Linked DNA regions of Ovis aries. The protein of the gene in region 6 interacts with the protein of the main gene of each other region in a pairwise test. Links are inferred from orthologs where the notes say so. Each region holds a gene or a part of one and is shown on either strand. Other genes may lie near its edges. The genes, in order: LMO2, FLNA, PRKAB2, LONRF1, NATD1, ADAMTSL4 and apolipoprotein L6.

What was found.
Region 1: the proteins of ADAMTSL4 (region 6) and LMO2 interact in binary tests that used the Homo sapiens proteins (3 or more experiments, as listed by UniProt). The two-hybrid records come from large-scale screens. The link is inferred for Ovis aries from reciprocal best matches to the Homo sapiens genes ADAMTSL4 and LMO2.
Region 2: the proteins of ADAMTSL4 (region 6) and FLNA interact in binary tests that used the Homo sapiens proteins (3 or more experiments, as listed by UniProt). The link is inferred for Ovis aries from reciprocal best matches to the Homo sapiens genes ADAMTSL4 and FLNA.
Region 3: the proteins of ADAMTSL4 (region 6) and PRKAB2 interact in binary tests that used the Homo sapiens proteins (3 or more experiments, as listed by UniProt). The link is inferred for Ovis aries from reciprocal best matches to the Homo sapiens genes ADAMTSL4 and PRKAB2.
Region 4: the proteins of ADAMTSL4 (region 6) and LONRF1 interact in binary tests that used the Homo sapiens proteins (3 or more experiments, as listed by UniProt). The two-hybrid records come from large-scale screens. The link is inferred for Ovis aries from reciprocal best matches to the Homo sapiens genes ADAMTSL4 and LONRF1.
Region 5: the proteins of ADAMTSL4 (region 6) and NATD1 interact in binary tests that used the Homo sapiens proteins (3 or more experiments, as listed by UniProt). The two-hybrid records come from large-scale screens. The link is inferred for Ovis aries from reciprocal best matches to the Homo sapiens genes ADAMTSL4 and NATD1.
Region 7: the proteins of ADAMTSL4 (region 6) and apolipoprotein L6 interact in binary tests that used the Homo sapiens proteins (3 or more experiments, as listed by UniProt). The two-hybrid records come from large-scale screens. The link is inferred for Ovis aries from reciprocal best matches to the Homo sapiens genes ADAMTSL4 and APOL6.

The regions. Positions count from the first base shown.
Region 1 is NC_056068.1:63,296,650-63,300,752, forward strand, and holds the start of LMO2 (rhombotin-2), read right to left. Parts: upstream 2,813-4,103; 5' UTR 2,671-2,812; coding exon 2,664-2,670; intron 2,541-2,663; coding exon 2,309-2,540; intron 1-2,308. UniProt on the Homo sapiens protein: Acts with TAL1/SCL to regulate red blood cell development. Also acts with LDB1 to maintain erythroid precursors in an immature state.
Region 2 is NC_056080.1:80,076,538-80,080,662, forward strand, and holds the start of FLNA (filamin-A), read left to right. Parts: upstream 1-1,301; 5' UTR 1,302-1,416; intron 1,417-4,125. UniProt on the Homo sapiens protein: Promotes orthogonal branching of actin filaments and links actin filaments to membrane glycoproteins. Anchors various transmembrane proteins to the actin cytoskeleton and serves as a scaffold for a wide range of cytoplasmic signaling proteins.
Region 3 is NC_056054.1:98,147,483-98,151,024, forward strand, and holds part of PRKAB2 (5'-AMP-activated protein kinase subunit beta-2), read right to left. Parts: intron 2,099-3,542; coding exon 1,932-2,098; intron 1,105-1,931; coding exon 1,011-1,104; intron 795-1,010; coding exon 674-794; intron 1-673. UniProt on the Homo sapiens protein: Non-catalytic subunit of AMP-activated protein kinase (AMPK), an energy sensor protein kinase that plays a key role in regulating cellular energy metabolism.
Region 4 is NC_056079.1:23,417,124-23,420,665, reverse strand, and holds part of LONRF1 (LON peptidase N-terminal domain and RING finger protein 1), read right to left. Parts: intron 2,252-3,542; coding exon 2,133-2,251; intron 892-2,132; coding exon 769-891; intron 1-768.
Region 5 is NC_056064.1:34,974,212-34,978,185, forward strand, and holds the start of NATD1 (protein NATD1), read right to left. Parts: upstream 2,843-3,974; 5' UTR 2,828-2,842; coding exon 2,620-2,827; intron 1-2,619.
Region 6 is NC_056054.1:100,567,521-100,571,686, reverse strand, and holds the start of ADAMTSL4 (ADAMTS-like protein 4), read right to left. Parts: upstream 2,826-4,166; 5' UTR 2,641-2,825; intron 2,497-2,640; exon of another isoform or gene 2,414-2,496; intron 1,924-2,413; exon of another isoform or gene 1,809-1,923; intron 1,235-1,808; exon of another isoform or gene 1,001-1,234; intron 108-1,000; 5' UTR 1-107. UniProt on the Homo sapiens protein: Positive regulation of apoptosis. May facilitate FBN1 microfibril biogenesis.
Region 7 is NC_056056.1:179,478,499-179,482,474, forward strand, and holds the start of apolipoprotein L6, read left to right. Parts: upstream 1-1,142; 5' UTR 1,143-1,242; intron 1,243-3,328; 5' UTR 3,329-3,366; coding exon 3,367-3,413; intron 3,414-3,976. UniProt on the Homo sapiens protein: May affect the movement of lipids in the cytoplasm or allow the binding of lipids to organelles.

The DNA.
Region 1 (4,103 bases), on a different chromosome or scaffold from region 6:
ACCACTGGATGCCCTGACGCAGATCCTGCCAACCAACTGTGAAAGAAGAGAATTTGCACTTAGCTGGTGCAAAACTGCCTGGAATTGAAATGAACTGCTCCTGTTATTCACAGGGAGGCAGGAGGGGCCACCGACGGCACAGTAGAGGAAATCTGTGTGTGTGTGAATTCTGGCTGTCTTTCTGTCTAAATGTTTCATTTGCATAGGCCTAGGCAAGTTTCTGGGTGTAATTTGGAGTTGCTGATCAGACTGACCTCAGTCACACTGACCCAAGTATGTACTCACTGAAGCATCTGGTAGGGTAGTGGTCCACAGGAGGAAATGTTAAGCCAAAAAGCTACTGTCTGTGATGGCCTAATATGAGATAGGAAAGGACTGAATAAGATATTGGCTCTATCTTTCTATAATTAAAGATAATATCACATTATCTTTGGTGGAGGTTCCAAGCCAATAACTGTGGGACTCACCCTCTAATTAATATTTTACATTCTCCTAGAGCCTATCTGAACATTACACCTCAATACACTTTGGCCTGGATTTCTGGGATAATTTCTCAACAGTTTCCAAGAAAGATATGGGGGAAAAATGTTCTGCAATAATTTCTCAGCTAGCTGGTCCATCTCCAATTAAAGCCTATCTTCACTGGGCAAATAGTGAAGCAAAGGATAGAGAAGAGCACCCTACTGAGCATCCTTCCGCAGATGCCTGCTGTGTTATGAGGTGAACATGTTTCAATTTTCCAGTCTCTTTGTGAAAAAGCACAAACTTTGAAAGGAGCAACCTTCCTTCAGGGAACTGAAACCTCCAGATTTATCTTCTAATAAAAAGATTAGTGACTAAGTTCTATTGATCGAAAAGGCATTAGGCACCTTTCAAAGGTAATTCATCCAATGCACTCTCTTATTGTATTACTATCATCTTGCCCAGGCTCTGAAAACTCAGGGCTAAGTTATCATTCTAGGTTTGTAAAAAAAAAAAAAAAAAAAAAGTGAGCAAAGCACCCTTCCCAGAGTTTTCCTAAACAAATACTTAAAAAAAAAAAAAAAAAGCAATGTTATTTTTTTCCCTGAGAATTTAAGGAAGCTGGGTTTTTGTTAGAACAAACCTGACTCCTTGTAGATCTGGCTTCTGAACCTTCAAGATTGAATAGTGATGTTTATATTCTCACTGGATCATGGTTACTTCCTGTGTTTTATGAGAACACGCTGAGCTTTTATGCTGGTAAAACCCAGGTATATAAACACCATAGGAGGCTGAAATTGGGAGGAGGAGGTATTTCAATCAGGAAAGCACAATTCTTTTAAAGCAGGAAAAGAAAACAAAACAAAACAAATGCCTCTTAAAAGCACAAATGGACAAGTCATTAACCAGCTCCTTTGGTCTGTGTAACAAATCCCTTCAAAGGATTTAGATGGGGACTTCAAAGGAATAAAAATTCTCAAAACCAGACAGCTAATGAATCTTAAAAGGGCATTTGCGCTGACGGGAAAATGACATCTTAAACATCCCTCTCTCCCCATGTTAACACTGAGCAATGGGCTCAGAAAACAAATGCGGTTCATTTAGAGCTCTGTTTCCCAGACCCTAAACCCTTTGAGATTGTGACAAAAGCCGTTTAAGACTCCGCTCTCCGGAAAAATTCACCTATATCCAAAATGGTGCACTAACTTTGGAGGTTCAAAGGTACCCATCGGTGGACTCCGAGGGGAGAGGCGTGTCCGCGTATCCAGACTAACTCCCGTGTTGCTCGGCTGCTCTAAAGTCTCTGGAGGCCTGGGTGAGCTCCGAGGTGAACTCTCGCACCTCCTCACCCGTGGGTCCCCGGCGCCGTGGGCAACCGCTCCACCTGCGGACCCGGAAGGGGACCGTCGGGGACCCGGGGTGGGGGGCTCCACTTGTAGTGTCCCCCTTTCCAGGACCAAACGGACAAAGAGAAGGAACGAGAGGGGAAAAGGGAGCAGAATCGAGTCCTGAAGGCTCTCGGGACTGCACCGGCGCGCCTCTGACCTCCCCTTGTGCATGCTCCTGTGCAAACTTTCTGGCCCGAAGTGGCTTTAGGGAGCGTCCCAGGGAGCCGCGAGGGGCCCGCTGAGGCGCCGGGCCGACCGCATTCCTGCCGCCCGCCACCAGCCCCTCTCCCAGTGTCCCCGGGGTCACCCAAGAGGATGCGGGAGCCCCGCGCACGGCAGAGGGAACCAAGGGCACGCCGCGGGCGCGCACCTGGAGCCTTCCCGCCGGCCGCCCGCCCCACCCCGCCGCTCCGGGTCGCGAGGCCGTGGACCCTCGGTGGCAGGGGCGTCACACTTACTCAGATGGGTCCAGGCTCTTCCTCTCGATGGCCGAGGACATTGGGGAGGGAGGTGGCGTGCCAGGCGGCGGGGGCGCTCCCTTTGTGGCGCGGGGCTGGCCGGCTGCCGGGGCTCGGACCCCCTCGGGTGCTCGGGCGCCGCCGCCGCCGCCGCCGCTCCTGCGCCTCTTCTTGCTCCGGCGCTCTGGCGGCGAGCTCGCCCCTCCGCGCTCAAGGACAGTCACCGCGCTCCCTTCAAACGCCAAAGAGAGAGAGCGAATCACCGGGCTGCCGGCGCGCCGCGGCCGAGGAGGGGACCGGGGCGCGCAGCCTGGCCCCGGGCGGCTGCAGCTGCTACTGCTGCTCAGGACTTAACCTTCCATCCCGGTCCCGCCGCCACTGCCGCCGCCGCCGCCGCCGCCGCCGCCGGGTCTGGCTCGGCTCGCGCGCTGTCGCCGGCTCCGCGCCGCCCGCGGGGATGGTGCGCGCCCGCCCGGCCGCCCCGCGCCCCTCGCACCTTCAGCCGGGGTCGCGGCGCGCAGCTCGCCGCCGAGGGCAGGGAGGGGGCGGCGGCCTGGGGGCGGGGAGGGGACCGCGCCTCTCTCCCCCGGCTCCCTCCTCTCTCGGGAAGGTCTATTTTCGCTCAGCTTCCCTCTGTCTCTGGTTTCATTTCCTTTTTCCTGATCACGATTCAAATACAATAGAAGGAAATCACATTTAAAGAGACAGCTGCCCGGTCCCCCCCGCCACCACCATCTTTTTTCTTCCCTTTTTTTTTAAACGGGGCTCCTGGGGATTAGCGATACAAACAGCGGCAGCCGCAGCAAGACTGAGTTGGCTTCTTAAAGGGGCCAGCGTCGGGGACAAGGGAGACTCGCTCAGAGACCACCTCTCCTTGGAGAGGCGGCTGGGTTGCCTGTGAAGCATTCTTTAGGGCTTTCCCTCTTCGGCGTTCCCCTTTTGGTTAACTAAGATTGAAAGTGACCAGCGGGCCGCTCAAGGAAGAAAGAAAAAACGAAAATGTGAAATAAACACATACAGAGATGTACGCGTTCCAAGTGGCTTTCGCGCGCGTCCGGGGTTGGAGGTCCCAGGTCCGCGGCCAGGGAACGCGGAGATGCCCCCAAGACAGCGCGGCTCTGCTGGCTGAGGACTTGTGACTGCGTCCGCGCTCCAAAAAGACGACGGGAGCTGTGCGAGCAGGGACCGCACGGGCTGGGTACGCCTCAGCAGCACCAGGGGCAGCTAATCCCGAGGGAGGGTGTTTGGGAGGGACCAAGCTGGTCTGAGTCTCCTCTCCATCTGCCGGCGGCAGAATTCCCTCCCTCAGCATCTTTAAAAATCGGACCCCTACAGTTAAACTGGCCCCGTAAAGGGCCAATAGCACTCTTCACAGAGAAAAGTGCCTCTCCAATGATGGAGAGCAATGCTTGGAGACTATTTTGCCCTGGGTCAGGAAAAGAGAGAGAACGCAGACTTGTTTGGTTCAGGCTTCCCCATCTAATCTCAAGGGCAAACTCCAAGAAGAGAGGCGAATGTAGAACGGGAGAGGAGGAAGCTAAAAGTCTTCTCTTCAATAGAGCAAAGCTTTAGGTCCCTTGGGCCTCATCAGAGATCCCTGAAAATAATTGCATTCAGAAATTATTACTAAAGGCCTACTTGAGCGTGCCACAAGTCTTGTAAAGAAGAAACTACCAGTATTCTCAGGATCCATGGTTTTATAGGAGCAGTCTAGATCATGGTCATGGACACTGTATTCCCTTTTTAAAGATGGCACTGAAGGGTCTGGATGAAATCACCCTGGAAGGTGAAGTCA
Region 2 (4,125 bases), on a different chromosome or scaffold from region 6:
CTAGGCGATCTCACCTGGGGTCAAGGTGGAGAGGTCATTGCCAACAAAGGCAGCAGTGGCTGCGGAGAGGCCTGGAGGGCAATCAGTGCCTTCCTGTTAGTGTGCAGCTGTAGATATCAAACTACGTTAGCAGGTGACAGCAGACTTCTCCTTTCTTCCCCCCTGTTCCTTCCTGCTTCTCCCCTTTTGCCTCCCTCCCTCCCTTCTTTTTGGAGAAGGAAATGGCAACCCACTCCAGTGTTCTTGCCTGGAGAATCCCAGGGACGGCGGAGCCTGGTGGGCTGCTGTCTATGGGGTCACACAGAATCAGACACGACTGAAGCGACTTAGCAGCAGCAGCAGCTCCCTTCTTTGCTTTTTCTCCTTTAATGAAGTAGAATAAAAGAAGAAAGATCAGAGTGCTTTTCAGGTGGTAAGGGACAGTCTCACTTCGTGGAACGTTTATTTCAGCCATTTGTGTCGATCTGCGTGTGTGCCTGCAAATATTGGCTCAGGATGTAAGATGCAGTTCTTTGTGGGGGTTGTGGGCACAGTGAGAAGACACTGCTTTGTGTGGCTTTCCCCGAGGAAGTGACATTTGAGCTGAATACGACGCTGTTAATACCAGGAAATGGGCACACAGAAGACGAAGAGGGAGCCTGGCAGTGCCAGGGTGTGGCTGTGCCCACCTAGTTCCCCAGACGCTTGGCTCCTCGGCTGCACCCCACTGTCCATGCCCAGGCCTCAGGACTGCAGCTAACTGTGCTGCTGAGAATTCAGTCCACTTCTGTTGCTTGCTTCCAGGCCAGGCCTGGCACTGGGCAGGGGCCAAACCCATGCCAGCCCGGGATGTTGTTTGGCTTGTCTTGGGGCTCAGGTCCCTGCCCCCGTGCAGACTTTCAGGTGGGAGGCTCTCAGTGCATACCTGCTAGAGCCTGTTGCACTTCCCCCTCCAAGGTAGAATCCAACTAGTCCGACCAGCCCCAGGCTTGGGGTAAAGGTAGGGGGGCGGCGCAAGACTGGGCAGCTCCCTGGAGGAGGTGGCCTTCGTTGCTGGGCCGAGACGCAGGCTCTGCAGACCCTCCGGGCCGCCCCTCCCCGTCAGCAGAGGGTGAGCTCATCTCAACGGGGGTAGGGGGGCGTCGCCGGCTGCCCAGGCGCCTGAGCTCACGGCGCGCCCCCGCGGGGCCCCCCCTCGAAACCCCCCCCCCGCCCCGCTCCTGGGTGATTTTTACCAATTAAGGCTTTCTCGTCGGGCCGAGTCGGGCCGGGTGCGGGGCGGGGGTGCGGCCAACAAGAAGGCGGGCGGCAGCGGCCCATTCGCGTGGAGGCGCCCGGCGCGCAGCAGACGCCAGCAGAGCCCCGAGGCGCCAGGCGCGGGCTCGAAGATCTGCCAGGCGCCACCCCGCGGCCGCCGGCCGCCCGCAGGGAGAGAAGGTGAGGCGTCCGCGGCGGGCACCGGGCGGAGCGGTTGGCGGGCACCGAGCAGAGTGGTCGGCGGGCAGCTCACGGAGTTGGTGGTGGGGTGCCCGGGGCCAGCTGCAAGCCGGGGTGTGGTGGTGCAGCCGCCTTCCCTGGTTTCCTGGGGAATCTGGGTCTGGCCCCGCAGTGTGAGAGCCCAACAGCCATGGGGGTGCCCTGGGAGGGTGAACTGGGGGGCAGGTCATTGCATGACTGTCCAGGAAGGCAGGGCTCTGAAGCAGGACGTTGTGTGGGGTCAGGGCGAGAGGCCACCTGGAAAGACACTTTGCAGCCAATATGCCCCCAGGAGGGATGTCGACGGTCGGTTCCTCCCTGACATCAGTGCTCTGGGCATTGGCTGCGTTGGGTAGAGGTGTGGGGCTGGCTTCTGGGCTGCTGCGCTCCACTGGGGCGAGGGCACATGGGGTTGGCCATGCTAGATTCGAGGCTGGGCCCTGTCCCAGGTTGGCTCTGAGCTGGATGTTCACTGCCAGGCAGGATGTGAAGGCCAGCCCCCCACCCCCACCCACCCCAATTCCTGGGCCAGGAGGAGTAGGTGACGGCCGCTGGGAGACCCACCTGCACGGGCTCCTAGCAGCGCAGTCAAGGTGGGAATTCAGCCCTGGAGCGTTGTCAGCCTGCCTGCCACACCTGGGCTTGGGCAGCCTCTCCTGCCACCCTGTGCCTCTCTTTCACCAGCCGTGGGAGGGCCTGGCTTGGGGTCTGAGGGAAGGAGTTGGGGTGGGAGGCGGGGTGTGTCTAACAACATCCAAGAAATCGACTCCAAATAAGGGAAAATATGAAAGAGCTGTATTTCAGCTTCCAGGGACTGCCCTATCTGGGGGCTTTGGGATGGGGCGCCACCTGGTGGTGATACTATGTCCCCTGGGGACAAGAACTCGTTAGAGCCCCATCTCTTATCACCCCCCAAATAGGGAAGAAGCCTAAGGCTGGCAGCCAGGGCTTCTGTCCCCCTTTCTGCTGGAGTTGGCTGCTGGTTACTGACGCTGACTCAGTTTCCCTGCTCTCTGCAGATTAAGAAAAGAACACAGATAATGCAACTGGATGGCACTTGTCAAGTGACAATGAACTCTCAGTATGATTCTCTCCTTGGGGGACTGGCTCTTCAGGGGGGCAGGGGATCAGAAGGATGGCTCTCATCTCTGCTTGGGTGGGGCCTGCTAGGGAGGAGTCTGCACGGGTCCCCCTCTACTGCTGTCACTCCCACCTCCATCCCAGTCCCCAGACACCATGGTGTGGAATTTTGCGCAGGTGTGTCTAAAGTGGTCAGGCCTTTAGACTGAAAAATGTCACTGGTGAGCAAAAACCAGTGTGGGGTACCAGGCAGCCCCAAAGAGAGCATGCTGGAGGCCAGGTGCTGACTGCAGCCCCACTGTGGGTGACACAGTCCCCAGGGCTGTGAGAGTTGGCCTTATTTGGGCATGCTGACCTAGGGGCTTCTTTCCCACTGGTCTTTAGCAGAGAACTGAGGTACTGCTAGTAGGAAGCTCGATCTAAGTACGAAGCAGGAGGGACAGAGACATGCCTTTCTGGGGGAAAAAAAAAAAAAGATGTGAAGAAGGGAACATCCTGCAGAGGGGAAGGACACAGGACCGAGGGAAGTGAGTCCACTCTGGGGACGAAGCCACCAGTAGGCTGGCTTCTCCAGACTGAAGAAGGTGGCAGTGACTGTCCCTGACAGGCCTCTTGCTTCTGTGCCTTTGTTGGTCTTAGTATCCCCCCCATAGTCTCCAGTTATCTACAAGAAAATGTATTTTGAGCGAATAGGTCCCCAGTACCCAGTCCTGGCTCCACGGCAGGCCCCAGCTGCCTTTCATGGTTTGCCCCCCCTCAGTCCCCTGGCCCCCCTGTCCGGGAGGCCTCCTCTGTTCTCCCACGACCCCGAAGCCCACTGAGACCCAGGTGCTCAGAGTGCATTATCGGAAGCCCGGGGCAGGTCCCTCTGGCAGCCTCCTGGGTCACGCTGGGCTCAGGGGCCATCCCAGCCACGGAGGGGAAGCCCCTCGCGCCTCTGGTAGACTGCCGGTGGGTGAGGCAGGCTTACCCGCCATCTCTGCATGCATCGCATCACAGGGCACCCCGTGCCAGTGCCCATTGGCATGCCCAGGCCCCTTCCAAGGCTGCTGGCTCCTGGAGCGCCGGTGGCCTCCTGGCCCAGTGCCCCATTTCCTCTGGGGTGCAGGGGGGAGGGAGGGAGGCGGTTGGGACCGGCGGGCGCAGGCCAGGATCCTGCAGAGCGGGAAGGCTTGCTGGGGCAGGGGTTCTGGGGTTCTGGGGTTCTGGGGGTCTGGGGGGCGGCTTAGGGTCGTGCGGCTACGGCCTTCCCTGGCGTGGCGCACGCACGCCCGGCGCGGGCAGCAGAGCCTTCTCCAGACCCGCGCTCTCCAAGGGCTCGCCCCTTCGGATCGGGCCCTTTCTCTCGGCTGCCGGCGAGGCGGCTGGCTGTGGCGCGGCCAGGGACCCCCGAGCGCCGGAGGTTGGGGGGGAGGGGGCGGCGGGGACCGAGCGGAGTCCACGTGACTCACGGAGGGCGAGCCACCCCCCGCAGGGGCCTTGGGGAAGGAAAGTCCCTTGTATGGTGTGCCCGCTGCAGGCCAAGCGGTCCCCCGCTCTAGACGTTGCTCAGCCTTTCATCGCTGCAGCGTCTCCTACAGCGCGGGAGGG
Region 3 (3,542 bases), about 2.4 Mb from region 6:
AAATACTGGGAGAAACAAAAGCATAGAGATCTATTCCTCTATTGAGGATTTTTTTTTTTTAACCCAAAACTTTAAAAATTTCAGTTAACATATACACAAAAGAAATTTGAGGTTTTTATAACTCTTTTTTCCCCAAAGACTGCCATATGGGTAGGGCCTATTAAATATACAACTGCCAACTAAGCTATCAATCTGGCGGGATTAAGTTGAGGCAGCTAAACATGGCACAGGAGACATAAGTAGCTCCTGCTAGTTGATACTGTCAAAGGTCAATGAAAAAACTGAAATATTATTAGAAATAGCTTTTTAAACTATAGATCACAGCACATTAGTCGTTTATAAAAAGAAGAATAAAGTAGAAAATAAAGTGCTTCACATGTAATAAAGGCAAACATCATAGTGCAAGACATGTTACTGGTTTGTGTGATGTGTGTGTTGGGTTACAATGTAAATTTAATGTAGATCAAATATATTTACTTTCACTTACTGTGAAATCAAACACATTACACAGATTTCATTCTCTGAGAATATGACCTAAATGTTTACAGGAGAAACATACATACAATTTGGAAGATTCCTAAGTCGAAAATGAAAAAAACAAAAACCACTCTTGGGAAGAAACATGCATTTTAAGAAAGGAAAGATCAAGAAAGAGCAAATACTACAAAATTACCTCGACAAGATGTCTCTGAGCTTTCCATTGAATCTAGCTTTAAAGCATCAAACACCTCAAAATCAGATTTCTTGACATGAATCAAATTGTTAATTGTGCCAAGCTGACTGGTAACCACAGGCTGAAACAGTGAATGGAAAAAAAAAAAAATTCATGAATCCCCATTTCAAATACATCTCATCCATTCAACTCTCCTCTTTTTAGAAGAGATTATACTTGACACCACCATCTTTTATCAACAGGGAAATCCAACAGCAATGATATCTGACACCCAGCGGAATAACAGCTAAAAGGAGACTGTTAAGCCAGTGGTTACCCTCGGAGGTCAAGGTCTTACCTCTGATGGATCGTGAACCCACTGTCCATCCACAAAAAACTTGTACTGGTGCTCTCCCTCAGGGAGGTCCAGGATGGCAACAAAGTCATTATGGCTACAGAAGAAAACAGAAAGTTAAACAGGCTAAATTCTTATTAGAAGACAGAAGATAAATGTAAAACCATGAGGCAATCACAGTATCATACCAGTGATCTCCCACATTCCTAAGTGATTGCACCCCCTGGAGTGAAAAATAATTTATAAACCCATTCTCCTTTTCTATATCCCCTTGAGCATGTATTTGCTATCCCTCCTAACAACTTTAATTTTTAACTAATATCTGAAAAAGAACAATAAAGATATTAATCCCCCAGAATGTTTCACTTTAGTACAACTATTTTGCTTCAGCAGAACAGATCCCTCAGGAGTGTAAAAAAGATAGCAAGTAGGTTCAGGATATGAAGTGCCTCAAGGTACTCTTTCCACATTTTGGTGAGCATTTTCTAGAAAATTACCTATATACAAAGGGCCATAGTCAGTTACATAACTCATTGTTGCTCTGCAAGCAACAAATAACATTACTACCTAGAACTTTACAACGTGTTTTGTTTTAGTGCAGAAGTCAGGGCAACTGGACTCAGGCAGTTACGGGAGACTTCCCACAAGCATAGAAAGGACTTCTATTAACACAATCCTAAAGAACATACCTCCAAAACTGTTGGAAGTCCCTCTGAGGCAATGACATTCTAAGTGGTAAAACATCTCTGACTCACTATAAGGTTAAAAAAAATGTCACAGATATAGTTACTGGTCACAAAAAATGTTCTAGAGAAAGTCCCTAGCAGGTGGAGAGGAGTAGTCCAGCCAAGTCTCTCTCCTGAGAAAGGGAATTGGGTCTCTACTCCTGGACCCAGCAGACTCAACCAAGACACTTGTCTTCACCTCTTAATCAGTGGAATCTTGGTGCTCCAATTGTTGAAGGACCCAGAGATGAAGACCTCCTTGCCTCCTTCAGACCAGCGGATAACAGTGGGCCGGGCCTGCTGTGTGGGCTTTACGGAGTCCTCCAAATCCTGCTGCCATGATACAAACTCTTTGTCCCCAGGGAGCTGTAAGAAGGATTAGGTCATCCCTAAATTGTGTCCCTGGAATTCTGAAAAGGTCACTCTCCTCCTTAGGGCAGAGAGGGGTGCTACATTTCTGATAAGGATTAATAAGTCTTGAAATGAGCAACTACTTCAAATTTTGAACAAAACTATAGAAAAGAAACTCATCTAGGACCCAAATGGTCAAATGGCTTATGCCCAAAGTCTGCCCAAATCACAGCTTAATTTCTGAGTCTGCATGAATCACTCATCCTTTCAGAGTCTTGGGATGTCCCTTAAAATACAAACAAACAAAAAATCTTACTTCCTGTCACCAGATTAACTCATAGGCAGACAATCATGATATGCTTATCTCTTAAGAGAAAAATATCAAAATAAAGCACAGTTCTACAAAAAATAATTAAGTTAGTCATCTATTTTTTTTCTTTTGCTGTGCCATGCAGCATGCAGGATCTTAGTTCCCCAACCAAGGATTCAAACCCTCACCCCTGCAGCGGAAGCACAGAGTTTTAATCACTGGACCACCAAGGAAGTCCTGAGCCATGTATTTTTCATATGTAAATATAAGCATCTCAATTATCAGTTGTAATAGAAATTAGAGATACTAAAATTCTTAAATAATTCATAATTTCCTCTTTAGTTAATAGGTTATAAAAAGACATTAAATACATAAAAATCAGATCACTGGTTTCCTAAATTTTGAGAAATAGTTATGAAATCTTACTTATTCATCCATGTCAGGCTTATACTAGTAATTTTCAGGAGTAGGGATGAAAATTGTGGAGCTACAAGAAGCATCGGATCAAAAACACAGTTTCCTTTAAAAAAGTGGTTCCCATATCAAATGAGGTATGTAGGGTTGCAGAAGAAAACTGACTCCTTAGTCAAGTTTATTTTCATTACCATCCTTTAGAACAGAAACTGGCAAACTATGGCCAGTGAGCCAGATGCTTTTATAAGTTTCATTGGAAAATAGCCACACTCATTCACTTTCTCATTTTCTATAGCTGCTTTCATGCTGCAATGGCAGAACTGAATATCAGTGACAGAGACTGTATGGTCTACCACAAAGTCTAAAATATTTACTATCTGGCCCTTTACAGAAAAAGCTTGTTGACCCACACTTTAGAGTGGCTTAAATGACTTTGGTAAATAAGTCTTTATGGTATCAAGCCAAAATATTATTAATACCAAATAAAATAATGTGGGATAAAAAAAAAAGACTATTCACTTGCGCTTTACTTTCAAAATGGCTGAGGCAGTCAACCTTCCATACTGTCTCTGAATATTCCTCAAAACTACAGTATAAGACGTTAGTGGCAACAAAATCCTTAGTAAACAATGAGAACTGAAGGAACTTTCACATTATATAAGGAAGTGACTTAAGAGAAAAACTTGATCTCCATTTTCTCAAAGCAATGAACTCATTTGACAGTCTGGATTAGAA
Region 4 (3,542 bases), on a different chromosome or scaffold from region 6:
AAAAGCCATGTTCTGAGCAACACTAAAAACGCAATTAACGCTGTGGCCTCTTTGGGGGACACTGAAGGAAACAACATGACTGGGCACTGAAATTTTATTAGGATAGATTTTCCCAGAACATTTTTCAGAGACTCTAGTCTTCCCAGATGTTCTGTGAGTAAATCTGGCAAAAGCTGAATGCTGTTGTCATGCTAGCAAAGCAAAAACTCTTGAGAGGGGCTGAAGAAATCTGTTTGATTGGTTTAACCCAGTGTTTCCCAGAGTCATTTGATCAGAGAACCCCTTTTCCTTTTAATTAACACCTACCACTGAACAAACTCTGGAAAGTGATGTATGGAGTACTGAGAAAATTAAGGCAAAATAAATTGAGTGGGGCAGTACTATTGGCAACCACGGAAAGCAAGCAAAGTTGAGACCTGAAATGAAAGGCAAAGGAAGCCAATAAAAATTCCTGAGCAGGAACATCATGACAACAATGTTTAATTAGGAATGACTGGTCTGGCTCCCATGGAACAGACTATTAGAGAACATCTAAATTTAACTAGGCGAAAGTAATGCATTTAACTCTCTCTGAAATGTTCTGATTTGGGTAAGAACTCAATATGCTAATAAGCATACTGAACCTGAAAACCCCTCATCAAACTGCTACTAAATCTGACTTATGGACACCCCTTATGTCCTTACCCCAAAAGTCTAGCGGGCGTTTGCAAAAAGACCTGTGTTGTCGGGAAACTGGCTGGAAGTGTTAAGAGTTGTTAAACGGATTACCTTTTCTACTTCTAGCTTTGCAGGTGCGAAATCTTCATCGAGCGCTAAGCACTGAAGAAACAGTTGTAAGGCATCACCTAAAAAACCAGCATCGTGGAGGACTTTTCCTTTCCTGAAGTACACCTTCAATAAAAGCACACATACCCAACTTTTATGGATGGAATTGTTTTTTGAAACATCAATATCACGTAAGGTTAAAAATAAAAGTTCTGCTTGGAAATGTTCATTTTGAAACTCTGAATGACTCTCAGGAGCCCAAAGCATTTTACAGGCACATTTACATCCTACCCGGGATAGGCACCTATGATTATGAGGTCCAGAAAATGACTCCAAAGCCACATTTCTAATTATATCCCACCAATGGTAAGTCCAGAGGATTCTTTCCTGTTTAATGGTTTTAAGAGCTTCCCTGGTGGCTCAGTTGGCAAAAGAGTTCTGCAACGCAGGAGACCTGGGTTCGATCCTCGGGTTGGGAAGATCCCCTGTAGAAGTGCATGGCAACCCACTCCAGTATTCTTGCCTGGAGAATCGCACGGACAGAGGAGCCTGGTGGGCTACAGCCCATGGGGTCTCGCAAGAGTCAGACATGACTTAGCGACTAAACCACTGCTGCCACCAAAGCTGTCTGTACAAATCATTTTCCCTCGTATTCTTAACACTGATTTGACTTGTACCAACTGATCATGTCATCATGAGATTCTGAATCATTTTCTTTATTAATTTATAAATTTTAGAGCATCCTTACTATACAGTCCTCAAAGGCATAGCTTTGAATGCAGAAAAAAAAGTCACATTAAAAGATGATTTTTAACTTAAATAACATACATGGGAGATGGATTGATTTGCCTTGACAGTATTGGTAAAATGGAGAATTCGTAAACCGATTATATAATACATACATGCTGCAAATCTTTTTTCAAAAGACCATGGGCAAGGCCCCCATCTACCGTACTGAACGACTGCCTCATCACCCAGTTCCCGTCACAATGCCTCAGTCAGCTGTTCAGCCACAGAAGCTCTTCTCTCTCCTTTAATAAACCTCCTCCACTGATAACTTCTTTGGGTCCATCTCCACAATAGTACATCTTTGAGGAAATGCTGTATATTAAATTCTTTTTTTTTTTTGTCCTGTGCCACGAAGTCAAGTTGTTCTCTAGTTAAGAAACAAATGTTTCTTATAGTCTAAAAAACTGTCAGATGATATTCATCCACTCAAAATATTGACCTCAGACTTCTAGAACTATTCCATATATTTAAAAGAAATCGCCCAATCCATTTCGTTGTGACTTACAATCATAATTGAAATGCATATTCCCTACAGTTGAACTTCTTAAATGCATGCAAATGTAAAACAGTAATTTTACCTCAGGCCAATTTGGCAGCTGAAAGAGAACTGCATTTAAATCTTCTATGGCTGCTTTAAACTCCTGGAGGCCAGCATACGATTCAGCTCTGTAGATTTTCAGAGTCAAGTCGCTGGGCTCTGAAATCAATGTTATGAAGGCTTGATTATTTTTAAAAGATTACTGTATAATCCACAGAAACATACTAAAGTAAGAACTGACTCAGCGATTCTAGTCAATAACCACTGACGCAAAGGCAGTGAGCCAAGCACAGTACAGGTGCAACCCACTGGCATACTGACATTTCTCTAACTTACAGCAAATCCTTATGGTTAGATTATTTTAGTGGAGGAAACTGATTTTTTTTTAAAAAACTGAAAATATTTTGATAATATGATCACCCCTAAGAAACTGAATGTTTTCCTAACATAGGCAAAGATTTAGAAGATGTATCTCAGATGTTTAGAAGATTTGTCTTTTTGTGGTAAACCTTTTTTTATATCTGATTTTGAAATCTTTATAAATGACTACATGTGTTAACTACTGCACACAGAATTCCCATAGTTACAAAGACTGACCGAGGCACGATCTTATGAGAGGACACGGTGGTCCTGTTTCTGGAGGAAATGGGTTGACAAGAGTCAGGTTTCTTAAGAGGGAAAATTTTTTAAATTCCTGCCATTAATAAGAACAGGATTGGATGGCCCCAGAATGACTTACTTTCAAATATTTGAGGGTAAAAAGCTTTAGGTGATAATTTCACTATGCTCTCTGTCTCTACTTGAGAAACCGAACTCGTATCCAAAGGCACTAAAACTTCAGACGCTTAGCTGGTTCACTGATGGTACTACAATCAATTCCTACAGGTCACGTGGGATCTAGGAAGATGCTACAGATGAGCCTATTTCCTACAGACTCAGATGCAGAGGATGGACACATGGGCGCCAGAGGAGAGACAGGGAGGGTGGGACAAACTGAGAGGTCAGGATGGACATAGATACACTGCCATGCGTGAAACTGCGTGTGGGAACCTGCGGAGCGGCGCAGGGAACTCAGCTCAGTGCCCTTTAATGACCTGAGGGCTGGAGGCAGACCCAAGAAGGAAAGGATTTTGTATACTTATAGCTGCTTCACTTCAGTGTATAGCAGAAACACAACACTGTAAAGCAATTATATTCCAATAAAAAAAGGTAAAAAAAAAAATTACTACAGGTACATGGATTCTGAAACTGAAGTGTAAGCCAGAAATCAATTTTCAATTATCTACAGATGACATTAACTTGACTCTTCTTTTTAAAGCTATTATTCATCTTTAAAGGCTTCCAAAATGTATGCTTATAAAATACAGCATTCGTTGTGGGAAGGGCATAAAGACCTTACCACCCACCGTCCTGGGCAAACAAAACAAAAACTATAATAAAACTCCTTAAT
Region 5 (3,974 bases), on a different chromosome or scaffold from region 6:
TGCACCCCTTGACAAAAGTTCACTGAGCCCGTCCGTGGCACTTCTCGGGAGCTGGAGACACGGCCACGAACAAGCCAGGCCAAGGTGCTTGGGGTCCTTCTCGCACATCTCTCAGATGCCAGTCTGAGCCTTCGGCAGGCCCATGGGCAGAACTTTCAATATCTGTCTGGAATCTGACCACTGTTCACATGTCCACTGGCCCCTGCACCCCCCATGGAAGCAGAGTCAGACCCCGCCCATCCTCAGCTCAGCGGCCTCCCCGCGGCCCTCAGGGCCACCTGCCTCAGCCAGCTGCTCCCTCTTCCTGGCACCTCCCCTAGAGTCCCCCAGGGCTGGGTCCTCATTATTTGAGGTTAGCCCACGTGTCACCCCAGCATTTCAGGCCCTGGATCGGGCAGTCAGACAAAAGCCTGAGCACCCATGTCCTCTCACACCCCATGTCAGCACCCCATCCACGCTTCCTTCAGCAAGCACCGAGGAACTGGGCTTTCTCCCCATCTGCTCACACTGCCTGCCCCCAGGCAGCCTGAGGGAGCCCATGACATCTGATCCACCCACTGCTCAGAACCCTCCCAGGCACCCATCTCACCCAGAGTCAAGGCCAAGTTCTCATAATGCCTGCCACAGCCCCGCACCACCTGCCTCCATGCCTCTTGATGCCCTCTGTCCTGTGGCCTGGCTCTGTTTCTCCCAGGACACATCAGGCACCCCAGGGCCTTTGCACTTGCCGCCCCCTCCACAAGGAGCACTCTTGCCACCGTAGCTCCCTTCTTTGCCTCCTTCTTGGGTGGTCCTCCTGGACACCTGACTCTAAACAACAGCCCTTGGGACTTGCCTGGTGGTCCAGTGGTTAAGACTCTATGCTTCCACTGCAGAGGGCAGGGTTTGATCCCTGGTTGGGGAACTGAGATCCCACATGCCATGCAGTGTGGCCAAAAAAACAAACAAAAAGCACCGGCATCTTCCCAACACCCCAACCTTATTTCTCACAGGTCTTGTTCTTCAGGATGGTCTATGCTTTATTGTCCACTGACCCTCAGATGGCTGAGCCCCCAGCACTTACAATAATGTGTGGCACATGGTAAGCTCTCAAGAAGCACTTGTGGCATGAATCCTAGTTCTTCTATCTCCAAGGTGCAAGACTGCAGGCATGTTGGTCAGTCTCCTATCCTAGCCTCAGTCTCCTCCTCTGTAAAATGGGCAGAGCAGCCCCTCCACCAACACCGCCCGCAATGCTGAGGATAAAGTAAGTGACTCCAGTGCGAGGGGCAAGCCGGAAACCCAAGGACTGAATGCACACAGCTGCTCTTTCCTCCCCAGACCTGGAACTTGCTGGGGACTCACCAGCCTAGCTCTGCCAGGGGATGGCTGGCACACACCTGTGCTAAGAGCCACAGGGCTGCTCCACCTCTCAGCCTCAGTGTCCACCTCTCTCACTGGGCACAGTGAGCTGGCTTCCAGGGCCTGGCTGAAACCATGGCAGGCCATTCCCTTCCTCAGCTGAGGCAGGGTTGGGGCCTGGGCACAGAGGAGCCCTCGGCCCACCCCTGTACACACCCAGACCATTTCAAGCCTGGATACACAGCCCAGTCTTGTAGACTGGTGAGAACTTGGCCAAGGATCCTGGTCCACTTTAGAGTCAGCCATCTGAGCAGGAGGCGACAGACAGGACAAGTTTACAAAGGCAGCTGGGCTCATCCAGTCCTGACCCCAGCCAACTCAAGAGGATGTCCCTAATGGCTGTACTCATTAGGGAAAAAAAGAAGGAACACCCCCAAAAGTCCCCTTTTTCTTCTTTCTCTGAGTGTTGAGGGTCTCCTGAACACCCACAAGGAAATCAGAGGCCTCTCAGGAGCCTTGAAAAGCCAGGGGGCCTCTTGGAATGAGAGTAGCAGGGGAGCCCTGAGAGTCACGGCCAGGTGCGCCAGGGTGGGCACTATATCGGAGAAGAGGAAGGAAAACGTGTTTGAGTTCTGGCCTGCGGGGGCCTCAGCTTACTCCTCTGAACACAGGGTGGTGACGGCCACGTCACGAGTAGGTTGTAACAGACGTGTGTTGGGGCCGGGTTCGAAGCCGAGCACAGCCAAATGGGGTCTGAGAAGGTGAAGTCCCAGCTCCGACAGAACCTCCAAGCGCAGGTGGGAGGAGTCCGCCCAGACAAGACCCTATTCGAGTTCTGCCCCTCCCCCCATTGCCTGACCTCAGGAAGCCTCGCCCTTCCCTCCTCAGACAAGGGCACAGTGGCCCATACGGGCCCATCCAGCTTGGGCACTACCACAGAAGGCCCAGCTGGGAGGGAGGAAAAAGTTATTAACAGAGAGGGGTGGGATGCCAGGAATTCAACCCTCCATTTCTCAATCAGGCGGAGGGGGCGTGGACTAGGAAGCGGTGAAGGGCTTGACTTCGCTTCTGGTTTAAGAAGTAATGCCCAATTACTTCCCTGGTGGTCCAGTGAGAGCCCAATGCAAGGCGCCCGGTTGGTCAAGGAACTAGATCCTACAGGCCCCAACTAAAAAATCAAAATTGCCGCGACTAAGAGTTCGCATGCCACAACTAAGACCCTGCCAGCAAAAAAAAAAAAAAAAAAAAAAATCAGTAAAGTCCTCCAGCACTGACTACCTGCCGCAGGCGCTGTTCTGAACCTCACTCTTACTGGGGCATCCAATTCTTCCCACCAGCCAGGAGTTAATCCCACTGTAGAGGCGAGAAACGGGCGCACAGAGATGAGGCAAGTTGGCCAAGCCCCAAAGCCGCCGGGGTCTGAAGGAGACAACGTCCCTCCCCGTACCCGCCCCGCCCCGCCCCTGACGGGCCGAAGCCCCTCCATCCGTCAGCCCCCGGTCGGTCTAGCAGGGTCTTCCAGCCCCCTCCGAGCAAAGAAGCGAAGATTCGCAGAGGCAGCCAGAAGCCACTCAACACCGGGAATGGGGAAATGGCGGGACACCCTCTCCCCGGGACCTCGGCAGGATCCCGGAAAACAGCCGGGCCAAGCAGGTGCGGGTTCCCCCGGGCCGAGGCGGGACCGGAGCCGCCCGGCGCCTGCCTCCGCCGCTCCCGGGCTCGCGCCGCCCTGGGCGCCCGCCCCCACCTGGCCCGCGAGTGCGCCCCCGGCCCTGCGGCGCGCAGACAAAAGGCGGGGGCGGGCGGGCCCGGCGTTACCGTTGAGCCGGACGGTGAACTGGCGACGCCGACGGTCGTGCTCCACGCGGATGGGGCAGCCTTGCTCCGGCGCGCCCGGCGACGCTGCTGCCGGCGACTGCGCCATGGGCGCTCGGACCCGGGCCAGGGGCGCGCGGCGGGCTCGGGGGGCAGCGCGCGGAGCCGCACTGGGGGCGACCGCAGGCGGCGGCGCGGAAATTGACACTCGGCGGCGGCCGCAGCAACAAAAAGGGGGGAGCAGGAAATCAGCTGTGCGGTCACGTGCGGCGCGCGACCAGTGGGCGCGCAGCCGCTCTGTTTTGATACATTCCGTTCGCCTCTTAAAGGCGCAGCGCCGCGCACAGCTCTGTGCTGGGGCCTTTGGGCCTCTGGCCCCGACCTGCAGGAGACTCTGGGGGACCCCCCAAGGACCCCGTCTCAAACACACGTTTCGACCTATAGGGCAGTTCTAACCGTCCCCTCGCAGCCACCATTTACTCAGTGGTTGCTGTGTGCCTGCGCGCAGCAAAGCCCCGGAAGCTGCAGAAAGCGCTCATGAAGCCGAGAAGTAGGTGCGCTTGACACAGGCGCCTGGGGAAGACCTGCGAGGGTCACACACCGCTGGAACGATTGTCCCGAGAAGCCTGGCTTGCGATCTGGTGAAAGGCCACCTCTAACCCCAGAAACAAATGTGGGAAGCTCCTTGGAGATCCCTGGACCCACTCACTGGGTGGTGGGGGTGGGGGGATTGAGTCCCAAGAGGGCCAGGGACTTGCTTGAGGACACACAGGACTCTGGGTGGGTGAGTGGGGAACAGACTACATTTTTGAAAGAGG
Region 6 (4,166 bases):
AGCCTGGTCCAGTCTCCGGAAAGCTGGGGATTGGGAGGGATGACTTCTCAGAAGGACAACTCAGAGTGAGAATGGAGGGGTGAAGATTGGTCCATCCCTTAATGATCCTAAAGGTGAGAGGGAAAAGGAGCACTGCCTTTGTCCATCTACCCAAGCTGAAGGGGTGGAGGTCTGCCCTCAGCCTCCCAGCTCAGGCGCAGTCCCCTCCTTCAGCTTCAGGAACTTCTCAGCTCCTGTGTCCTAAACAGCGACTGTCTCTAGGCCAGCTCAGACACATGCATCTTTCTTAAGAGGGTTGAGGAGGGAGGTTCAGTGAGGACTTTTCAGACATCCTCTCTGAGCTGCTGACTGGAAGCCCCCTGGGCTTTCCATTCCCACCTGCTTCTCAGCCTTTTCTTGCCTTCTTACCTAATAAGCTCCTTCTGGAACACTTGACACAACTGTGCCTATCTCAAACTTTGCAGCCAAGGGATAAACTAAATGGGCTGATGGTTTATCTCTAGAGAAGCAGGTGATTTTCCCCAGTGATATTTAACTTCCCTCTAGGGGCCAGCCTCTGGCATTGGATCAATGAGGCCTTCCTTCAGGCAAGACTCTGATGGCTGGGGGAAGCTGGGGAGGGGAGATACAGCTAGAGAGGCTATTGGTCCCCAGTCACTCATGGGTCTATCTTCTGAAGAGCCAGGAAGTCCATCCTGCAGTCTCAGCTTGATCACTGGAGAAGTGGAGCTTGGAACCCTCCCCTGGTCTAAGCCTGGCTCTCCCATGGCTCCCCCTGGCCCTCCAGTCCCTTCACAATGAACCCTTCCCACCCCCACTCTTCATGCTGCTCTGAGCTCTGCTTTCCAGGAAAAAAAAAAAAATGTTTCTGTTGGATCTGAAAGGCACCCGGGAGAGGAATCCAAGGAGCTAATGCTGAGGTGGGCCAGCTCAGGGGCAGGAAAATGACAGAGGGAAGGGCAGGAATGTGCTTGGAGGTAGCAAATCCATTCCCCCTCACCTCCCTGAGACCCCAGCGCTTGGGATGTTGAGAAGGATCACAGTGGCGGGGCCTGTGCCCGAACGGTCTCCTCAGCTACTTGGGGTTGTGAAGGGGGTTGCTGATGGCTGCTCCTTCCCTTGGCTGGGCTGACCACTGAGGTCAGCAACTCCGCCCTGATGAGGAGGCGGGTAGGGGCTCCAGAGAAGGGCCAACATTCCACCCAAACCTTCAGCTTTCAGCCTGACTCCCTTCCTGGTGGTTGAAGAGAAGGAGATGGGAGGCTGGTCACTGCCACTTCTTGCTGCTGGGTCCCCTCTCCACTTCCTCTGCCTCTGCTTCTCTCTGCTACCCCAGGCCTGTGTCTAGCTGTCTCTCTCTATGGGTCTACCCAGTACACATAATCCTGTCCTGAGCTGGGTTTGGCTTTGGCAGCTCCCTGGAGAAGTGAGGGGTGGGGGGTGGGGTGACGTGAGCTCCTGGGGCCAGGGCCAGGCCTGGCTCCCTCTCTGGAAAAGTCCTACCCCACCCCCCGCATAGCTGGGCAGGGGGCCGACACATGCACACACAGGCACACACAAACGCTGCAGAAACAGATACACATTTGTGGTTTTCAGTCTTTTCATGTTTTCCGTTTCTCATCTGGTGAGCCTCACTGTCCAGAGTGAAGAAAGGAGAGGTCAGACAGAACTGGCCATTCTTGGGCCCGGCTGACACTGGTCTAGACAAACCTGGGCTCCTCCCTGCCACAACTCCACACTGGCCAGTGGAGATCAAGGAGGAGTGACCTGGGCAGAACTAACCGCTTCACTAACCCCAAGAGACCTACCTCTGGGGAACAGTGGCACTGAGGGGCAGGGGGTGGGTCCAGGGCTCCAGGGCTGGCTGCAGAGTCCTTGTCTTGGGCGAGAACTCCTTGGTCCTCCTTGTGCCACTCCTGGGTCCTGGAGGCCCACCCAACAGGTGTCCTGCCTTTCTAGTCGTCAGGCTGAGCTGGATTCGGGGCACCCACTTGTAACCCTCCCAGCGTCTGTGCCCCCCAACCCAGGACGGAAGCGGATGACAGGGTTGGGGGGATGGGGGAGGAACGCATCATCCAGAAATACCGTTCCAGAGGGGAAGGGCAGGAGGTGCCCGGCGCGTGCCGGGAGCTCCTGGGTGTGTTTTCCAGTTTTATTCTGTGTAGGAATTTTGGCTGATTCTTCGTCCGAGTGATGGGGCCAGCGTTCCAAGAGATCAGAGCCCCCTCCCCAGGAATTGGACCCCAGGGACTGGAAGATCTTCCGAGGCTATAAGAACTGGGGCCGGGGTCGTGGCTGGGGCGCGACCGCGGGGCTCGGAGAACCCGGACGGCGCGGCGGCGTGGGGCGGATGGTCTAACCAGACGGGGGAGAGAGGGCGACCGGGGCCAGGGGTCCCAGGGAAGATCTGTACCTGCTCTGCGCGGCCCCGGCGGCCAGCTAACCCCTCTGCGCCCGGGCGCTCCCTCCAGGCAGCCTCGCTCCGCGGCAGCCACTGCGGCCCCTGGGCCGGGCTACGGCCGCCTCCGGCCGCGGCTCCGCCCCCGCCCCGCCCCGCCCCGCCCCGCCAGCCCGCCCGCCACGCGCCCGGCGGCAGCCCCCCGGCGGCCCCCGAATCCCCAGCCCGCCAGGGCCACCCACCCTGGGCTGCGGGCCTTGGCCGCTCCCGCCCGGCACCTGCCGACCGCTCCAGGGGGCGAGGCCGAGGAGGTCCCAGCCGGGTTCCGAGGGAGCCATCGCGCCAGGGCTGTCCCTCGACCCGGCTGGGGCTCGGGTCTCCGGGACCGCGGTCTCCCGACCGGCTCTGAGTGGGCGGTGCGAGCGCTGCGCCAGCCCGGGCGGAGCGGCCGCGAGGGGCGCCAAGGGGTTGGTGGCGCCGGTACCCGAGCGGCGTGGGCGAGCCCCGCGCCCCACATTGGGGCGTTGCTGGGCTGGGAGATGGTCAAGCCTGACCTCGATTCCACGTTGGTCAGGGCCCTCTCCATCACGCAGCCTCCCGTGCAAGCCCAGTTATCCCTGCTTCTCCTAAATTGGACTGTGAACCATGTGGTTCTGACTGCTCAGGGACCCTCTAAGCCTCGGTTTCTTCATCCATAAATGTTACCTACGGGGCGTAGCGCAAGGAATGCGCTGATTTAGGAATCAGAGGATCTGGATTTGAATCTCCCTCTGTGATCTTGGATGAATGCTTCAACCTTTCTGTGCTGCAGTTTCCTCATCTGTAAAATGGGGTTAACCTGACATACACGAATAGGCTTGGAGATATGTCTGCCTAGTTACTTAGATCAGGAAGAATACATCCCAAACTCGGAACTGGGGGCAGCAGCTGGGGAGGGGTTGGGAGAGGAAAATAAAAATATAAGCTTTCACTTTTTTACTCTGTATGCTTATATGTTTTTGAATGTTTAACCACAGGCATTATCTGTTTTTTATGGTAAAGAAATAAATAATACACGTAAAATGACAGAGTAGATAAAGTCATTATTTTTCTTGTCACCACTATTTTAAAAGTTTTATTTGCCATTTTTTCATGAACTACAGTCATGTACTGTTGGGTCTACTCTCAAGCATTTGAAAGGTTTTATTTATTTATTTTTTTCCAGTGACTTGTCAATATTTTAAAACCAGGATATTCAGTAGCAGGGTATCAGGTGTTCCCACCTAATACTTATTGAGCACTTTCTGCACTTGGTGTGGAGGGCACAGTTAGAACAGCCTCTGGCCTTAAGGAGTTGGGTCTAGTTGGAGACAGACTTGGGAGGTAAGTACTGGACTCAACAGAAGCAAATGTTGTCTCAAGAGATGAGGGAAGTGAAAACATAAAATGCTTTTAAGTATAAGTATTATATCCTTATTTGAAGTTCAATATCTATATTTTATTATAATTTATAAGTTATATAATTTATATTATAAAATTATAATTTTATTATGATTTATTATTATTTCAATAAACCCCTAAGTTTTCTCAAGACAAGGACCATTTAGGCCACTTTGTGTCATCTCTGTTTTTTCATCTTTTGTATTTCTGTTTTGGTTTTTGTATTTGTAGAGTTAATAGAAATATTTGGAATGAAACAGAACAAACAGATGAGTCCCAGGTGCCCAGGCCTGCTTTCTGACTTTTTTTTTTTTGCTTTCTGACTTTAAACTCAGGCTCACTGGGTGGT
Region 7 (3,976 bases), on a different chromosome or scaffold from region 6:
GGGCGGTCCAAACACAACATGGATTATTGTACACTGAGACCGGGGCTTCCCTGGTGGCTCAATGGTAAAGAATCATGCAGGGAACCAGGGTTTGGTCCCTGGTCGGGAAAAGCCTGCACGCTGTGTGGCAGTTAAGCCCATGAACCACAACTGCAGAGCCGGTGCTCTAGAGCCTGGGAGCCGCAACTGCGGAAGCCCATGTGCCTGGAGCCCGTGCTCCTCAACAAGAGGAGCCGCTGCGACGAGCCACTCATGCACCCCAGCTAGAGAGGAGCCCCGCTCGCCAGACGAGGGAAAAGCCCACAGAGCAGTGAAGGCCAGCACAGCTGAAACCAAATAAACGAATAAATACAGTTATATATATAGATAGCCCTGAGATCAGCCCCAAACACCCTCCTTGTTCAAACATTAGGTTTATTTCTGCAGGGAAACAATATTCAAGAGAAGGTGGATGCATCAAAACTATACACTTGTTCCAGCTTGGGTCATTTTACCACCAAATGAACCATGAAAAAACGTTTCTGTTTTCCAGAGCCTTTTGCGTTTCACAGTCACAGAAAAGAGGCCTTCGACTTTGGGGTCAACCCCCTCCTCGGAGGGCAGGTGAGCGCTCTCATGGCAGGGCCGTGGACGCATTTGTTAGGTGTTGGTTCCATGCTGGGCGTTGCCTCATTTGCTCCGGGGCTCCTCACAGTGGCTCTCTGCCACAAGGGCTGTTTTACTAAATACCCATTTCACAGACGGGGAATCAAGGCCAAGGGCAGTTGAGAAAGCAGCTCACAGTGACACAGCTCCAGATGGTCTGCTTGACTTCAGAGTCCTTGCAGGGCGTAAGCACCCTCACTCTGCTCTTGGAACAGCTGGGACCAGGAGAGGTGAGACTGGACCTGACAGATTCAGATAGCTCCTTCATTGCACATCTCCTAGAGAAAGAAGCAGAAAGGAAAGTAAAAGTGCAACCATTGCTCAATAAGCTCCGGGGAGGTCTCCCCCACCGCACGCCCGCCCCCCCCCCCCCACCCCCCCCCAGAGCTGCTTTGGCATTGACACTTCTGTGCTTGCCTCACTGAACTTGCATCCAGTTTTGCAATCAGAGCCTCGGGTCTTTCCCATGATGAGCAAGACCAGCTGGAGACTGCTCTGTGTGTTTGCCCTCCTGCAGCCTAGACGCTCACAGCCCTCCGCTGGATCTGAGACCCCTGGAGGGGAGACGAAGGCAGGCCCTTGGGACCTGAGGCCACGGTGAGTGCTTCATTGAGAGCAGGTGGGCCAGGAGACCCAGGAGGAGGGCTGCTCTGCGGCCTCACTTCTAAAGGACAATGGGCCCAAGAGGTTGCCCCTGCAGTTGGTTTGGGAGAAAGAGTTACTGTCAGGAACCCCCATGCTGTTCAAATCCCCATCCGGCCAGCTCCTAGTGTCAGCTCCGGTCTGAAATTCAGTTTCTTTACTTGATAAATTGGGATAGAAATCTCTCCCTCAGAGGTCATTTGAAGTTTAAATAAAAACATGATTAAGCATGTGATTAGACCAACCAAACTGCATCTTCCCCTCCATTGGCTGGGGACCCCTGGATCGTAGACAGAGAGAGACCTGGACCCCAGAACACAAGCGACATCACGGGCCAAGGCATTTCCCTAGCTGTTCTTTACAAGAGTGGTTTAGGAGTATCATCTTTATAGGAAAAGATGCCAGATGAATTGTCTCAAAATTGCCACCTGCAATGTTTCTTGTGTTGTATGCTTATTTAGGGAGTTTGAGGGGCAGGAGTTGGTGATAAAGATTAAGGGGATTATCTCAAAGCTGTGTTCCAGAGTATCCAACTTCTCTGACATCAATGGTGTATATGAGGGAATTGGTTTGAGGGGAAGGGACAGAATACGGCAGAGCTGAAGGCTCCCCAAACAACAAAGAAAGTCTCATACATATCAGCTCTCATATGAAAATGACTTCTCTAATCCTCGCCCATCATTTCCATCCCTCTCCCAACATAACATCCTCTGACATCTCCCGAGAGAAGGTCAGTAGTGAGAGGATGGGACCTGGTGGGACCAAAGGGCTCCCTGCTGTCACTTTAGCTCTTCATTTAGTAGGAATAATAGGGGAAATGGGGGAGCTTTCAGGAGCTGCTGGGAAAGGCTGGGGCTCCTCCAGGGTTTCTCAGCCTCAGCACCGCTGACAGCTTGGACTGGACCGTTCTTTGCTGTGGGGCCGTCCTGTGCACTGTAGGGTGTTTAGCAGCATCTCCGACCTCTACCCACTAGGTGCCAGGAGCAGTGTCCCCTGACGCCCACCACTGAATGTCTATGGGCGTCACCACTATCCCCCGGGGAGAAAGCTCATCCCTGATGGAGATCCACTGCTCGAGACCTAACTGGAATCACACGGGGCTCCTCCACTTCCCAAGTGCTTGACATTTGCTTTGTAGCGTATTTCTAGCATTATTTATTTGGGGCTGTGCTGGGTCTTCATTGCTTCGAGAGCTCTAGCTGCGGCTAATGGGGCCTTCTCACTGCAGTGACTTCTCTTGTTGCGGAGCACAGACTCTAGGGTGTGTGGGCTTCAGAAGTTGCAGTTCCCAGGCTCTGGAGCACAGGCTCAGTAGTTGTGGCACACGGCCTTAGCTGCTCCCTAGCAGGAGGGATCTTCCCCGATCAGGGACTGAACTAGTGTTTACCGTATTGGCAGGCAGGTTCTTTACCACTGAGCCATCAGGGAAGCCCTCTCATTTTTTGAAGCTACTGAATGTTTTTAAAACCATGACAACATGAAAGAATTTCACAGACATTGTGTTGGGAGAAAGAAACCAAAGAACTGATGCCATTGACGTGAAAATCAAGACCAGGCAAACAAATGAAAGGTTATAGAAATCAGTGTAGTGATCACCCGTGTGGTGGGGTGCATGTTGGCTGGGTTTGGGTTAAGGAAACCGTCTGTCCTTTATCTCGATCTGGGTGGTGATGACTTGGATGTGTGACGTCAAAATGTATGAAGCTGAGGACTTTGTTTTGTGTACTTATCCTATAGAAGCTCACCTCAACATATAATGTAAAAACAACAGTTTTCAAATATTTAGTCCTTTATGTCTTATTATTATTTGGATTTCGCATCATCTAAAATCCCTCCACACTTGAGTTTCTTTTTTGAAGTTTTAAAAATCTTTTTGTCCATAACTCACAGCAGGTGGGATCTTAGTTCCCCGATCAGGATTGAACCTGTGTCCCCTGCATTGGAAGTGTGGACGGAAACTTAATCACTGGACTGCCAAGGAAGTCCCCACACTTGAATTTCATACGATTTCATGGAACTTGTTTTCTGTGTCTTCACCCAGAAAATCCTTTGAGTCGTGGTGACAGCTCTCATTCTCCCATGGACAAAATGAGCATGGATTTGGTGCCACAGAACCTGCTGGACAGGTAGGCAGGGAAAGCCTGCAAGACTGGTGTCAGTTTGCAAAGGTAATCCAGAGCCCTGTGTCCCTGGGGAAAGGGCGACTTCTGCAGAAATGCTTAGGCATTCTCACGACATGTGACAAATGTGTTCCAGGAGAACAGCCATGAATGAGACCTGCCTTCTCACTGGTCATTATGTATGTGAAGATATGTCCCTGGGAGAAAAATATTCCATGGTTTACACTATTTTGGAGCACAAGTCAAGTTCTTGTTAGGTACCTGACCCTGGGCAACAGGACTCCGAGGGCAGAAACTGCCCCCTTGGACGTCACTTCTGTGAGGTTGATGTATCACCAAAAAAGCCCTTTAACATTGCCTCATTCATGAATTTAAGCTCCAGCATGCATTCATCAGCAGACATAGCATCGTCAGCCCCACATAGGCCATCAGCCAATGTCTCCTGAGGGAATTAGGTGAGCTACACATGTGTAACAGAATTAGATTGTAGTTCTGTGTCAGGAGGCATTGCTGCCTAACATAGGATGCGTGCATACTCAGTCATTCAGTCCTGTCCGACTCTGCGACCT